Drosophila melanogaster: one gene and its partners. The protein of the gene in region 1 interacts with the protein of each later gene in a pairwise test. Each region holds a gene or a part of one and is shown in the gene's direction. Other genes may lie near its edges.

Region 1 (3,658 bases):
TGCCTTGTCTAGTTCTGAATTTTCTCAAAGAAATAACACTAATCTAATCTTGTATGTTATATACAAGATAATTTAGATTCTTTAAGAAATCTGTAAAAGGTAATTTGAGTTTTTTCTGACACTATAAATTTTATGGTGTGTTGTTAAGCAGGATCAGTGGCCGTATCCATCTACCCCTAACAGTAAAAAAAGGCAAATAGGATTTAAAGGCCGAGATCGCTTTGGACTAGGATTCGGTCATTATCCATATTCAGACCAGCCTAGAATTGGCCCTGATGGACTTGGAGTAAAGAAAATAAATCCTTATTCTTTGTCTGTGCAAACGTGCGCGCATAACATACATAAATACGAGAGCTAATTAAACGTCTGCATACCGACATTTGATAGATTGTCGACGAAAATAAAAGTTGAATAAAACATATATGTAATTTTTTGATATTTTCCTAGGTAAAACAAATTATTGGGGGCTTTAGAGGCACAATGATATTTTTTATTTCCCTGTGCAAATATTCCAATTTTTCTTGTTTTTATGTTGGCTCGCATGACATTATTTGATTAAAAGTGACAATTGTAAGCCTTGTTGGTATTGGAGTAATACCAACCGAGCTCCTAATGCTTTTGTACACTATGTATGTAGATGTTGGCATCCTGGGTGTCAACAATTCTGATCATAATGCTCACTGGCAGCTAGTCCCTCAGATTGCATACTAAGCAGAAAACCAGCGTGCGTACATAATTGGCGTGCCCTTGTCGCGCCAGTTATCGATAACTATTTCCTGCACAGTTAAACTGGAACGCAGTACGGCCAAAACAAAAAACTCATCAGTATTCAGGAGGCTGGGGGAACTGAGCTCTTGTTGTTAGCGCAAGTGCCAACTCATTGGCTTAGCTGTAAGCGTTGGGTGCTGTAATTGCAGCACGCGCTGCTGCTTTTCCCGGGGGCTAGGAACTGATGCTCCAGTAAGCACCTGACAACGTTGGCTGGTAAAAAGCTTCTGGCTACAGAAATAGCGATGCACTTGCCACAACGCAGTCTGTGTCGTCCGTATTTGGGGTCGCCCCAAGCTCCCACCCACCCAGTCCTACCCCTTAGGCCTTCCAACGAACACTAAGGCACATTTGTTATAATTATTTTTAAAGTGCACATATTTAATCAAGTGTGGATTGGGCTGCTATGCAGTAGCACTATGTATGCATGTCAAACAACTAATTAGAGCCCATTTCTTTCCTTTAAGGAATTCTTAATTCAACAGAAACAATGGTTTCGAGTTTAAGGCAAATCAAATTTTAAATAATATAAACGATACTTTAAGAATGAATATTTAAATATTTTTTGAAATTCCAATAGAAATTGGCAAATAATAAATTCAAATTAAATCGAAGTATTCAACTTTCTGAGCGTAACAATTTTTTGCAGATTTTGGGAGTGGTAATCAACTCGGCTGGTAATCTGCTTTGATCAAGAATGTATGTACAAAGGATAAAGTTAAGGATCGCTACCTTCTGTATATATACTAAGCGACAGTAAACCAAGTGTGCAGTTACTCAAGGAAAATTTTGTAGGAGATTCTGTAAATAAAATCCCTGTGAAAAACCCACCAAAGTTCAATGCACGAATCTTGACGCAGTTGCTGCGGTTCATTATTATATTGGTGTTTTGGCTAATTAAGTCATAAAATGGGAAACCCCAGACACGCACACAAACAAACACAAAATCAACGAAAAATTAATTTAAAAAAAGTATTAGATATTAGAAACACCTCTACTAACACTAGTCATATTGTAAACAGTCCAAATAGTTAGCCGCTACTAAAATCGAATAAAATCAAATTAAATTTTCAAAGTATACATACCACGTTCAAAAAGTATCCTAAGTGAATTAAATTTTATTAAATGAATACGCTCTTTGAACTATTCAATTCCGAACTCAGCAAAGTTACGTTGTTCATGAGAACATTAATTACTGTCGGTTATTAACTTTTAAACGTTTAGTAGTAGGCTTCGAGAGCCCTTTCATGGGTAGAGTTTAGTTTGTTTATCCTTAAATGTATTTCCACCACCGTAATCTCAAGCAAACACAACAAAAACACGAGAATTTCAAGTACGGAAAGCAACACATTAGAAGGACCAATGTGGAACGTATCCTCGATCCTGGAAGGGCTAGAGCATGAGCAAGGAGTAAACGCGGACCTCCGCGGCAAGAACGTGTTCAACTTGTGCGTGACCTTCTTGTGGATATTTCTGTGCATCTACGTCCTGTCCAAGCTAACCCAACTCGTGGAGCTCTTTCTGTGCCAGCGGCTACTTGGCCAGAAGCAATGGTACGACGTCCGCACGATCAAAAACGAGTGGGAGCAGACCCTCCAGCTTTATGAGGACGATAAAAGCCAGCTGGACGCACAGGTGCGCGAGTTGCGAGAAAAGAACCTGAGTATGGAGCGCTTGATGGTGGACCTGCGAGACTACAACATCCACTTGATCAGCGAAAACTATATGCTGTCCGTGATGCACGAACAGGTTAACAAAACAAACACAAAACAACCAACATATTTGAGAATCTATTGATCTTAAAATCGCGCGCAATATTATTTTCCATTCAAAGACACTGTTACACTGCTAGCCATGTTATGTAAAGATCTAATTGACCTCGAGACATGTAAAGTGTATTAACAATTCATTGTTCTTTGCTCAGAAACCAAGGCCGGCCGAGCCGAACATCTACATCACCAACAGCCACTTCCATCTCACTCGCCAGATGTTTCTGAACGATAGTCAAATCAATCTGAACGTCCATGACCATGGCGAGAAAGGAGCTTCCGGGGAGGGCAAAAATGTCTGGCTGCAGTATCTAAGGATGCGCAAGTGCTATATGAGCCCGATTGCCGATCCGAATTCGATAGATCCCAGCAGCACCACCAAGCAGATTCTCCCAATTGTTATGAGCACCGAGCAGTTGGCCGAATTGCAAGGTGAGTAAAGTAACAATTTGTGAGATGTTAATAATCGTTGTCTTTTTCTTAGGCATGATCTAGTTAGTTTTAAGTTATATGCAAACATAAATCTCGATTGTTGTATTGATCGCAAAGAAAAAAGCTCAAACAAATATATTTAAATTAATTGCTCTACTTTTCCATTGTTTTTAAACGGAAATAGCGCAAACCTCGGTCAAAACATTTGTCACTATCCTTGCAGTTAAGATAATTATGTTATTCTCACATGTTTGTTTTTCGATTTGAAACGTAGAATCTGTAGAATGATTACTGTTTGTAGCCTTTAAGCTGGAAATAAAAATTAGCTTAGTAATGTTATTTATTTCAATTCGATTCATATTCCAAATTCAATTTTAGCTCAGTGCTTTGGACCACAGATAATCGGTTTTATTTGCCTAACTACCTACCACCTACCGCCTCCCAATTTCCTAAACGCACCGCCCTCTCCTCCCTTCGATGGCCTTCGCGACAACATCTGGCGGAAACGAAACGAAAACAAAATGCAAAATATAGCTGTCTACCAGTCGGTCGTCTGTTTGTTCCAACTGCGACTGCTAAGACGATGACTTATCAAGGCAGAATTTAGCGATTGGTTCTTTAGCTTTCTTCTTCGTTCCCCCACTGTGCCAGAACTCTCCATTTTATTTTCTTTGCCATGGGGTCACTGG
Region 2 (5,463 bases), on another chromosome or scaffold:
TCGATAGTGCAGGGCGTACTCATCGATATTTTCAGGCCAGCAGGAGTCAGATATAACTGCCATCACTAATAAAGTAGAAAAAAAAAACCATAAGCTTACCGCAGGTGTTGCAATTTTCAGTGAATTCGCAGCAAAGCCAAGCAATTTGCATTCAATCATCTGTGAAGGAAAAGCTATCACACAAAATGGCACAAATGGACATCGAATTGAAGAAGGTGAGCGGAAGGCAAGTTGCCAAAAAGGCCGACTGCCGACGGAGAGCGCGTGCTCTTCCAAAGAACTTAGTCATAGACGATTCCTTTTGCACGCAGGCCTTCACCGAGATGCAGATCAATAAGCTGGAGACGACCAAGAAGATCCACATGATCGACATGAAGTGCGACATGGTCAAGACAGGCAAACAAAAGTACCAGCTGACAGAAAAGGGCACCAGCAGCTTGGCCGACGACACAAGGTACATAACTAGAATCACAATTAATCATCTCCAGGTGTTCAGGTGGCTAATTGAACTGTTTCCCTATAGAGTTTACCAGTCCGTGGGTCGCATGTTCCTGCTTACCGATGTACAGAATATGCGCGAGGACCTGAAGGCTAGGCAGGAGAAATGCGACAAAGCGATAGAACTGCTGGAGAAGAAGAAGGAGTTCTTGCAGAAGTCCCTTAAGAGCCAGGAAGACGGTCTGCGCGAGTTGGTGCAGCAGCGCAAGGAAGCCGATCAGACTGCGAAATAGACTACAACTCCAAACTGGCATTTATCCCTCAACGCAATTGCTTATTTATTTTCAATATACTCGTCTAAATTGAAGTTGGCGTAGCTGACAAACTTGTTGCCCAGATTGCGTTCGTGTTCCGGGCGGAAGCTGCACTTGAGGACGGGCAGGCGAGCGGTTAGCCAGGGCTCCACCACCTCACCGGAGCACAGGATTACCTTGCTCTCCTTCTGGTTTCGTTGCAGCCTAGTGATTATTTCACACGTTTTGGCGATGCACTCCTGGGACAGGAAGGGCGGGTCGGCCACGATGAGGTCATATTGCTGGTGGTGCTCTTTGAGGTAGTCCGGGTTGCTCCCTACGCAGTTCAAGTCGTAGTGCACAAAATCTGTGCCATAGGCCTCGAAACGCTTGTCGAACTCGAATATGTGCACTACAAGATAGAATGATGACAATTCATTCATAATCGTTTCACATGTCCACTTACCTGTGTCATGTATCTCCCTGATGTCCTTGTAGAGCGATGGGCAGGAGAGCAGTGCTATACTAAAGTCACCCGAATCCTCCGTGCGCTCCGCCAGAAGCTTACGCACAACATCACGCAATGCGTGCTTGGTTTCCGTGCTGTACCAGAACTGACTCAATTGCTGCAAGCGAAGAGAGTTTCACCATAAGTTTCTAAGGTATGTGCAGGTGCTCTTGCCCAATCCTCCTCGAACTGGGCATCCTTGCCGGTCTTGTTGGCGATTTGATTCTCCTCCTCGGCTTCGCGTTTTGATCTCTCCAACAGAAATTCGTTTAAAATGGCCAAAGTGTCGGCGGGCAGCGAGATGTCGTCGTCCATAATTAATTATTTGCCACTAAATGAATCTTAGAGCATTCAAATCAAAATAAACCAAAATGTGCGTTTGAAGATTAGAGGTGCGAAATTAGCGATACAAATGAGAACTTATTGGGGGGATTCCAGGCCTTGGCGCTGTTTTCAAATTGTAAATTATTAGAAACTTAGGCCAACTGCGATATTGAAATTATACTTTCAAAATAATATGCACTTTAACCGTATGCAAATCGATTACCAATTTTAATTTATTTTAAGTTATTTTATTAATACAACTAGCTCCAGAAACCTGTATCGTAACTTTTATTTGACAACACATTTTCAAACTGTACTGAATATTTAGGCGTTTAATCGACAACTAAAACAGCAACTTTCAAGTACGTGGTCTTTAAATTTCGTAAGATCGAGAAAGCAGTGCGATACAAATCGGTGGCAGCCCTGTGTCAGTTCGTTTTTATCGAACTAGATCAACTTTGCCCGTCCATCTCTAGTTCGCACGGGAGCCCCGACCAAACTGATACGTATTAATTTACGAGAAAAACTTGCGTTTAATTCGAAGTCACATCATATCGCAGGCTGGAACGTACCTGCTGCTAAGTAAGAGGTAAGTGAATGGCCAACGTGAATTAGGAAAAATCAGTGCCTTGCCGGAAACGAAATCCATGTGATTAAAGGCTAACTTTCTTCGCTTGACGTCGTTCCCAAATCGGATAAAAGTGTGCTGCTGGCCCAGTAATTACACTGGTGAATTATGCAGGTCGGCATTTGGACTCGCTCCGCGACTTCCGTGCGGGGGAGGAAGCATCCAATCCCCAAGCGCAACCGTTTCGAATTTCTACAGCGCGGCGCGAAGAGCCCTGCACTTTGATTTCGTTGCCGTTCATTGTGGAGTTCAGTCGGGTCAATCAGCCTCAATTTGCGAGACTTACCTTCTGAATCTCTGACGTGTACCTACCAACCAAACTGTCCACTATGTGACATCATATAATTGGGCTTCCGACTCCGGACTATTGCATGAATAATGTGCGCGCGGGTTGACAGGTGCTACCTTAAATTGACTAGGTGACCCACTTCCGTTGAAGGACCCTCCGTCCACAGATCCCAATCGATACGGCTGCCCCACTGCCAGTCTCATTACTCGACATGTAAATCGAAAGTACACGTAGGATGGACCCCCTCGGTTGGGTTTACTTAATCGCTCAGACCAGCCCACTCCCCCTCCCATGTTTCACCTGTTGCCACCTGTTTGTGTTTCAATATTTTGACGTGTATTTCGTAACAACATGCACATTGTGCGCTGTCTTGCAGTTTTCTCTTCGAGCTTCGTAACGAAATCTTTGCGTTTAGTGCGCTAGGCATCATAAACCGCATACTCGAGAAATATAATTGCCAAACCGTAAGAGTACATGATACTTTAGCGATGGCTTGGCTGTTTTCTTTTTTTGGTTGCCTCATGCAAAGCACTGTCCGTAATGGTGGGCAAGTCATCTTGGCTAAAGCGAACATTAACACGACTTTTGGGCCAGCCCGTTCTCGTTTTAAGTGCGTTTGCCAGCCACTTTCCATTTGACTGGTTTAACAGTTGGCCCTGACTTTCAATTAAGACGTAAAGCGCTTGGCACTGAGAAGCGTAGTGCAGTCTAATCCTGGAGTCATAGAGGGCAGATCTTGCGGGCTATTCATTAGGTTGGAACCCTCACACATCAGATAGCGCCGCAGTTACTTAGCCAAGGTTCTCTTATCGCTGCCTATGCCTAAGATAGCAGCCAAATTCCCGCCGATAAGGCCGAAAGTAGAAACCTTATACTGATTTTCATAACTGCCTTGCAGACTGAATACTGAACGGAAAGCGAGCACGAAAGCTACTTCATCATGAGCGCACCCACCGACCAACCACCGCGCTCCGAGGGCGCTCAGACCAACAGCTCCGAGAGATCCTCACAGCAGCAGGAGCAACCGCAGCAATCTCAATCACAGAACGTACCGGCCAAGCTCCTGCAGCATTTTCAGACAAATCGCATAGATTCCGCGCTATGGGCACTACGTCTGCTGGTCATCTTCTTCACCGTCAGCTACGTGCTGCCCATCTTTACGTGAGTACACGCGTTTTCCACATTGACCTACTCTAATTTTCACTTACTTCTCCACAGCTCACAACAGAGCGCATTCAGCAAGGTTATGCTGGCTAATGCCGCCATCTCTGCCTTGCGTTTGCACCAGAGATTGCCCGCGTTCGCGTTCAGTCGGGAGTTCCTTGCTCGACTGTTTGCCGAGGACTCGTGTCATTACATGATGTACTCCCTGATCTTCTTCAACATCCGCCCATCGCTGCTGGTTCTGATTCCCGTGCTGCTGTACTCAGTTCTGCACGCCTCAAGCTACTCGCTTAAGCTGCTGGATGTAAGGAAAGCAATATTTCACATTTGGCACTTGTCTAATAAGAAATGTACTTACAGCTGATTGGCCAGAACTCGTGGTGGGGTGCCCGTTTCATCATCTCCATTGTAGAGTTTCAGGCGGCGAATATCCTGAAGGCAACTGCATTCTGCGAGATCTTCATCATGCCTTACGCCATTGTGCTGGCCTTCATGTGAGTTTTAACACATATCTTTCGAGGGGAATGCACTCCAATGCAGAATACTTTCAATTTTAGGAACCACGCTGGATTGATGACGCCCGTTATTTACTACCACTATCTGGTGATGCGCTACAGCTCGCGACGAAATCCCTATCCGCGCAACGCTTTCGCTGAGCTGCGTATAACCTTCGAGGCGCTGGCCGCCCGCTCACCGCCCGCCTTTGCCAAGATCATCCGTGGAGGCATTGGGTTCGTCAACCGCTTGGCGCCGCAGCTACAGCCGGCTGCAGCGCAAGAGTAGACACGACAAGCAGCTAACGGAAAACAACAATCAAATGACATATGAATAAGGCTATTTAAATACCAGTTCACTTGCATAGATGTTCACACAGGAGATTGGGGTTCATCCGTTTTATTTGTTAGCCGAAATTCGTTGCACCTTTTCGAAGCGAAACTAGTTGTTTTACACCAGATTGTTTCGGCATTTAAGTTTAAATTTATCTATATATTATTGTAGTTTTTTTTGAGTACATCATCATGCTTTTTTCAACAACACACAATGTGGCAACGCACGAATTCCGCCATGGAGGATCAACGGCGCGTATTACTATATTTATATCCCAAAAACAAATTATTTCAATTTGTTTTGCTTTAACTTATATGTTCAAAATACTGATCAAACGAAAAACATGGACAGCTAACGCTGTTAGTAATTATTTACATATATTTTGTATGAGTGTGTAAAGATTCGAAGAACCAAACAAAGTAAAGTAAAGTTAAATAAAACATTTTGAGAAGGTACTAGAATTTGGACTACAATTTTTTCTGGTTGATTGGCTTTAAATCTTCTGCTACTGTATTAAGTGGTTTGCACTTAACTTGTTTCTTCTCAAGCCAATTAAAAAATGATATCAATCGTAATAATTTTCGTATCATCCTTAAAGTATGCAATACCTTAATTTCTCCACTTTTGGTCAGCGGGCTCAAACAGGTGAATGGAAGCGTTCCCCAACATACTCCAGATCAGGATCACTAGTCGATTTGGCCATGTTCCAGTCGGACACGAATAGTAGCAATCTAAGCACTTTTGTACAGCGCCGAAGCATCAACCCACAACGAAACTAATGAAATGATTTCTGGGTGTGAGGCTAGGGCGTTGGTAGCTTGTCGTTGGCTCTGGACTTCTTCCGAATTTCCACCAAGTTCAATGAACTTCTTGCGCAGCGCCAAAAAAAAAAAATGTTCGTCCAAATGAGGGTGAAGGCACCCGAGCTTTGTTGTGTTGTGTAGGTGAAACGACTCACTTTCGTTCTCAGTGCCGGGAAAACTTTGGGGCA
Region 3 (5,754 bases), on another chromosome or scaffold:
AGGAGCCAAAGCTTCTGGAGCAACTCCCCGAGGGAGCCGGCTACTTCGCCATTCTTCTGCCCAAAATCGAAAACTGCGATGCAATCAAGGCGAGTCTTTTAACCCAGGAGCAGTATGAGGAGCGCCTAAAATCGAAAAACGAAGGTCTACCTCAAATTGAGTCCACCGGGGACCACGCTCAAAACAAAAATAAGGAGATTCAGGCGTGATTTTGACCCTTGTTTTGTTGTGCTTCTTCTATAAGGCCTTTGTATTTTAAATTAATGATTCATACATATATTATATTGCTCAAAGTCAATGAGGACTTAAATAATAATAATTTTGACAGTAAACCACAAATAATATTTTCTGAAACTTGTGAATTTTGTTAATACTTATGGTCAAATGTAATGTCGGGTCTACTATTTAATTTCCAGTAAATTTTATTTCTTAACAGCCTGTTAACTCCGGTGCATTTACAGAACTCTGCCCACTTAACAGCACGCTCCGTAATAGTTGGCAACTCAATGCAACACGTGTGGACGATAAACAGCTGTTCGGGCGGCAATTTAGTGGAAGCGAAACAAAACCAAATTCGTTAACTAAATCTTAAAAATGTCAGCTAATAAGCAAAAGAAATTGAGTACCATGGAGGTGGACCCCAACGAGGATGTCTCCAGTTCCAGCGAGGATGATGACGACGACGAACCGCATCCAGATGCCTATAAGGGAAACGAGGTAATCTAAGTGCCTCCAAAATATGAAAAGCAAATGTGTTTCAAAATTAATATCCGGCTAGGAGGTGCAAATCGACTTTGAGGGACGAGCTCCAGTAGATCCCGATGCCCAGGGAATCTCTCAACTCCTGCAGCGACTATTCCTTCGTGCCCACATCAACTGCAACCAAATGGCGGATTTGATCATAGGTGAGCACTCCAAGGTACTATCTTGATCTATCTATCAGCACAACTTTTTTTGTTTCCAGCCCAAAATTTTATAGGCAGTGTGATCTGCCAGTGCGACGACGAGGGCACCGAAAGCGAAACGGAGGACGACAACATGGTCGAGGATGGCACCATCTTTGGAATCACCTCTGTGCTGAACCTGACCGCCAAAAAGGATCAGCCCAGCATCGCCCAGTTAAGGACCTACATACTGGATCGCGCCAAGACGCACGCTTCTCCGGAGGTTCAGCAGCAGTTGAAGGAGATTCTAGACAGCGAGCAGCGCCATGTGGGATTCTTGATCAACGAGCGCTTTATCAATATCCCTGCCCAGATCTCCGTGCCACTGCTGCAGAGTTTGCAGCAAGAAATCGAAGCCGCCAAGGCCAAGAAAATGAAATACGACTTTGGCACTCTGCTGCTGCTGGTTAAGTTCTACAGGAAAGAGTCGAAGAAGGGCAAACCGGGCGAGGACGTGTACACCAACGCTGAGGATGAGTTGCTTTCGGATCGGGCTAAGTTCTCCTTCGAGTATTCCATGGCCTCTGAAACCGATTCGGGCATGTCTGGCGATTGGCTGGAAGGCGATGCCGTGATGACGCCCTACAGGAAACTCCTGGTCCTGGAGGCCAAAAAACTTCCGCAGCTTATTGACGATATACAACGCTTTATTAATGGCGAATAAATATTTTTTACATTTAAAACTGCTGTGTTATTTGGCCTTAATATAACACCCCGACAAATATCTAATTAAGAAGTAATAATGTCCGGTCTCTAACGACCGATAAGCTTCTATTTCTTTGTAGTCCCATACAAAGAGTATCAAAAATTCGAACCGAAAGCTTTCCACATCCTTTATGACAATTGGCAACGCGGGCAAACCACAAACAGCTGTCACTTGGCCGGCATTTGAAAGCTTCGCACATGCCGGCTGGTCTACTGTGAAAAAAAAACCTGGTTGCCATTCCTTTGTTTTTTGCCACTGGTTAGTTTTGGCCCAGAAACTGCATCCACCGTGGACGTGACTGGCAAGAGGAACCCACAATAACAATTCCGAAGACCGAGCGACGTGAGTAGACTTTGCCTTTATTGTTTACAAGTTATATCCGAGTTCTAGAATTACGTACATAGCGAGCATACTGGCGATTATTCATCGCTCGTGCGATTTGTTTTCATTCGAAAACGCAAGTAGCAATTAAAAAAAAAAAACCTAAAGCCCGGCTCGCTAGTAAAATGTATAAAAAGCTTGGCCACCCAGCCAGAACATTGCAAATCGTCGCGGAGAGCTATCACAATCGCTCCTTATCGCCAGCTTTCCGTTCCAGATCCCGCTCCCAAGTTTCCAGTTTCCAGCTGCAGCGCTTTGTTCCCATCAGGGAGGTTCAGTGACGCCCCACTTGCCGATCAACCAAGTCGCGTGAGCTGCCTGCGAAAAAGTACTCATCATGGGTATCGAAAAGTGAGTATTTATTACCAACAGTTATTAGAGGGTGTGTTTTAAGTTAGCGCGGATCAGTTATCTAGCCACCGCTTAGCGACCGATTGGAAAAGCTCTCAAAGATTCGCCATCTTTTACAGTGAGGGTTAGTCGCTTAGCATCCATCAATTGCTATCTTATTTACCTTTCCCATAATTCCAAAACGAAATTAGAATGTTTTTAGTACTGCATATCTCAGCGTTTATCAGTTTTAATTAGTTGCCGGCAAGGAATAGATGTCATGAAAATTCCAAACTTTATCTTTTCCCAAAATAAAAACAATGTTTGGCGAAATACTGTATAAAAGTTAAAGGGGGGAGGTCACTTAATTTTATCATTATTACTTAGATAACGAGTTCTTGCTACTTCTGGAAACAGATATATATAGATCAACTTTTATTGTTTGATATGGGGCACTTCAAAAGATAACACAATTAAATGGTCAGCGACATAGGATTATTCTCCAAAATATTATAGACCCAGTTACCTAAGGATTGGTATTTAGTAGAAACACTTGAATAAGATTACAAATATTCTAAATAAGTACTTTAACACCATTTGTGCTAATACTTGGTACACTTGTTTCTAAATTGGAAATCGGTTTGTGATTATGGTCATTTCGAAAGCTTATCGCGATTCTTTATAGCACTTCGAGTTAAGATAAGCCCAGCGCCAGGAATGAGGGTAAACGAAAGGGGAACACACTGAAACATGGCCATGGTTGCTCCTAATACAGTGGGGACATTTTCTTTTGAAATAATAAATTGAAATACAAAGGCAACAGGCTGTTATGCAATATGAACGACTGCATCAGTTAATAAAGCAAATGTGACGTGATAAAATTCAATTCAATTAAACGCTATTGCACATTTAGTTGACACCCAGAAATGTTTCTTAATGAATACCAATAACGATTCCGTTGCGCACTTTAACTCTACTCTACGTGTGCCCCTCCAGAATTCTACCATGCACCCTCCGGCTGAACAAGCTGATGAGTCTGGCCGGCAACGACTGCCTGTGCATCATCGATCGCAATGCGGTTCCCAATGAACTGAAGGCCACCTTCGAGGAGCACCGCAAATTCGACAAGTCCTTCGACAGCAGCATATCCTGCTTTAAGGTGCCCAACGTGGATCAACCTGTGGTCTATGCCCCCGTCTCCGAGCTCACCGACTACGACGATGTGAGGAGCTACCAGGAGGCGGCCAAGCGGTCCATGGAGAAGGTTCTCAAGGTGGGTTTTTTTTTTCTATACATATTGTGTGAATTATGAAAGAAAATGTATATGTATTCTTTGCCAGGCTGGATTCCACACGCCGTTGCTGTTTGTGCCCAAGGTTAAGCGCTTCCCCGAGGTCGAACTCTGCACCGTTCTGGGAGCTCTGGAGCAGCTTTATGTGGTAATATGGATTATGTTTACTTTTATTTCAATCAATGTGCTAAAACACGTTTTTTAGCCCATTCAATTGCGCGAGGCAGGAACTTTGAAGGACCCCCGTGTGACCACGCTCAGTGTCCAGATCGATGATCCAAGGGCCGAAGCTATTTTCCAGGAAGCTCTCATTCTGGAGGCCGGTCGCTTTGTGGCCCGCGACATCGGAGTTGGGGACCCGGAGCGCATGACGCCCATCCAGGTGGAGAAGTACATCAAGCCGTTGTTCGACAAGCTCAACGTGAATGTGATCAGTGACACCCAGGTGTTGCAGAAGGAGTATCCCCTGTTTGCCGCCGTAAACCGGGCTGCTGATGCAGTGGAGCGTCATCGTGGTCGCATCATTTTCCTGGAGTACAAGCCTCCAAAGCCGGCGAGAAAAACTCTGATGCTGGTCGGCAAGGGTGTTACCTATGACACCGGTGGTGCTGACATCAAGGCCGGTGGTGTGATGGCCGGTATGTCGCGCGACAAGTGTGGAGCGGCTGCTGTCGCTGGATTCATGCAGGTGGTCAGTCAACTGCAACCGGATGATATCCATGTTGTGGCTGCCCTGTGCATGGTGCGCAATTCCGTGGGCGAGGAGTGCTACGTGGCCGATGAGGTTATCACCTCGCGAGCTGGTCTTCATGTGAGGATTGGAAATACTGATGCCGAGGGTCGCATGTGCATGACCGATGCCCTGTGCCGCATGAAGGAGTTGGTCGTGGAGCAGAATCTCCCGGATCCGCATCTTTTCACCATTGCCACCTTGACTGGTCACGCCTTCATCTCGGCAGGTGAGGGTCAGTCGATTGCCATCGATAACAGCGTGGCCCATCGGGAGGATCACGCCAGAAGACTGCAGGCTGCTGGACAGGCCTTCGGAGAGCCCTTCGAAGTGTCCATTCTCCGTCCCAGTGACTTCTCTTTTAACGCTGGAAAGGTGATTGGCGAGGATTTGGTGCAGGCCAATAATGCCCCGTCGGTGAGGACTCCTCGCGGTCACCAGGTGCCCGCCGCCTTTATGATTAAGGCTTCTGGACTGGACAAACACGGGTTGGATTCAATGCTGCCCATTAAGTACACCCATATTGATATCGCCGGCAGTGCCGGTGAGCACCCAGCGATGCCCACAGCTGCCCCTCTTGTTTCCCTGGTGAAGACCCATCTGCAGAAGTAAATCATGTCCACCTAATATTCAGGAGGATGTGTACACGATCACCACAAACAGTACTTATACACCCACGTGCTTAGCTAACCAACAATATTATCCTACTAACTGCATCACTGTTTTTTAATAAAGGCAAAACCGAGTTCAGATTGTATTCATAAATGTATGTCACTAATTTGGTAATCGTTTACAAATAAATGTGAAAATGATTTGTTTTTTTCCTTAAGCTTACAAAGCAAATATCTCATTATATTCATCAACATGGAAATATAAACATTATATCATCCCATTATAGAGAATAACCACCCTACATATATTTGTTAAGTATACAAGAAAGCCGCGTGGGTATTCGGTCTTTTTTATTTCTTTTTTATTATTACTGCATTTCCCAGCTGCATTGTTTGCATAATTGGCGGGTGCCCTGCATTTCGAGCTCTTGTTGGCCATCTACGGTATGGCTCGTACTCCTGCTCTTCCCCTTTCGCAGCCTTTTCTCTTCAGCTTTGCAGCGCCTTCTTTTTTTGTAGCTTGGCCCACAGCCTAGAACCCGTTAGTCGCTTCTTGGCCATGCTCTTCGCTTTGGGCCCCGTTCCCGGGAGCTTGGCCCAGCAACTTGGCGTGGATTGGCTTGGTTGGGGGATGGGGATGTGGATGGGGCCCGCTTGTCAGCTGTCGCATGTGTCTTGGTACCGTTATTGCCTGGCTTTGGAAACTCGGTCAAGAGTGTCTCATTCATGCTGTGATTGCATAATATACCGTTGGCTCCCGT

Evidence for each region. The genes of interacting proteins can lie anywhere in the genome.
Region 2: the proteins of CG14589 (region 1) and Kr-h2 interact in a two-hybrid assay, tested with the Drosophila melanogaster proteins (one large-scale study listed by BioGRID).
Region 3: the proteins of CG14589 (region 1) and Dip-B interact in a two-hybrid assay, tested with the Drosophila melanogaster proteins (one large-scale study listed by BioGRID).

The regions. Positions count from the first base shown.
Region 1 is NT_033778.4:6,135,297-6,138,954, forward strand, and holds CG14589 (uncharacterized protein), read left to right. Parts: upstream 1-2,006; 5' UTR 2,007-2,130; coding exon 2,131-2,517; intron 2,518-2,692; coding exon 2,693-2,964; coding exon of another isoform or gene 2,965-2,969; intron 2,970-3,021; coding exon 3,022-3,112; 3' UTR 3,113-3,115; downstream 3,116-3,658.
Region 2 is NT_033779.5:6,069,036-6,074,498, forward strand, and holds Kr-h2 (kruppel homolog 2), read left to right. Parts: upstream 1-1,954; 5' UTR 1,955-2,152; intron 2,153-3,177; exon of another isoform or gene 3,178-3,378; 5' UTR 3,379-3,420; coding exon 3,421-3,641; intron 3,642-3,698; coding exon 3,699-3,948; intron 3,949-4,004; coding exon 4,005-4,138; intron 4,139-4,201; coding exon 4,202-4,427; 3' UTR 4,428-4,926; downstream 4,927-5,463. Other genes in the region: Pfdn1 (prefoldin 1), read left to right, coding at 186-215, 312-454, 524-731; CG9154 (uncharacterized protein), read right to left, coding at 773-1,143, 1,198-1,357, 1,414-1,554. UniProt on the Drosophila melanogaster protein: Member of the dosage-dependent hierarchy effective upon white gene expression.
Region 3 is NT_033777.3:13,780,460-13,786,213, forward strand, and holds Dip-B (dipeptidase B), read left to right. Parts: upstream 1-1,828; 5' UTR 1,829-1,992; intron 1,993-2,180; exon of another isoform or gene 2,181-2,235; 5' UTR 2,236-2,368; coding exon 2,369-2,382; intron 2,383-3,357; coding exon 3,358-3,634; intron 3,635-3,701; coding exon 3,702-3,800; intron 3,801-3,857; coding exon 3,858-4,994; 3' UTR 4,995-5,217; downstream 5,218-5,754. Other genes in the region: CG9288 (uncharacterized protein), read left to right, coding at 1-209; CG9286 (uncharacterized protein), read left to right, coding at 595-717, 779-905, 965-1,608.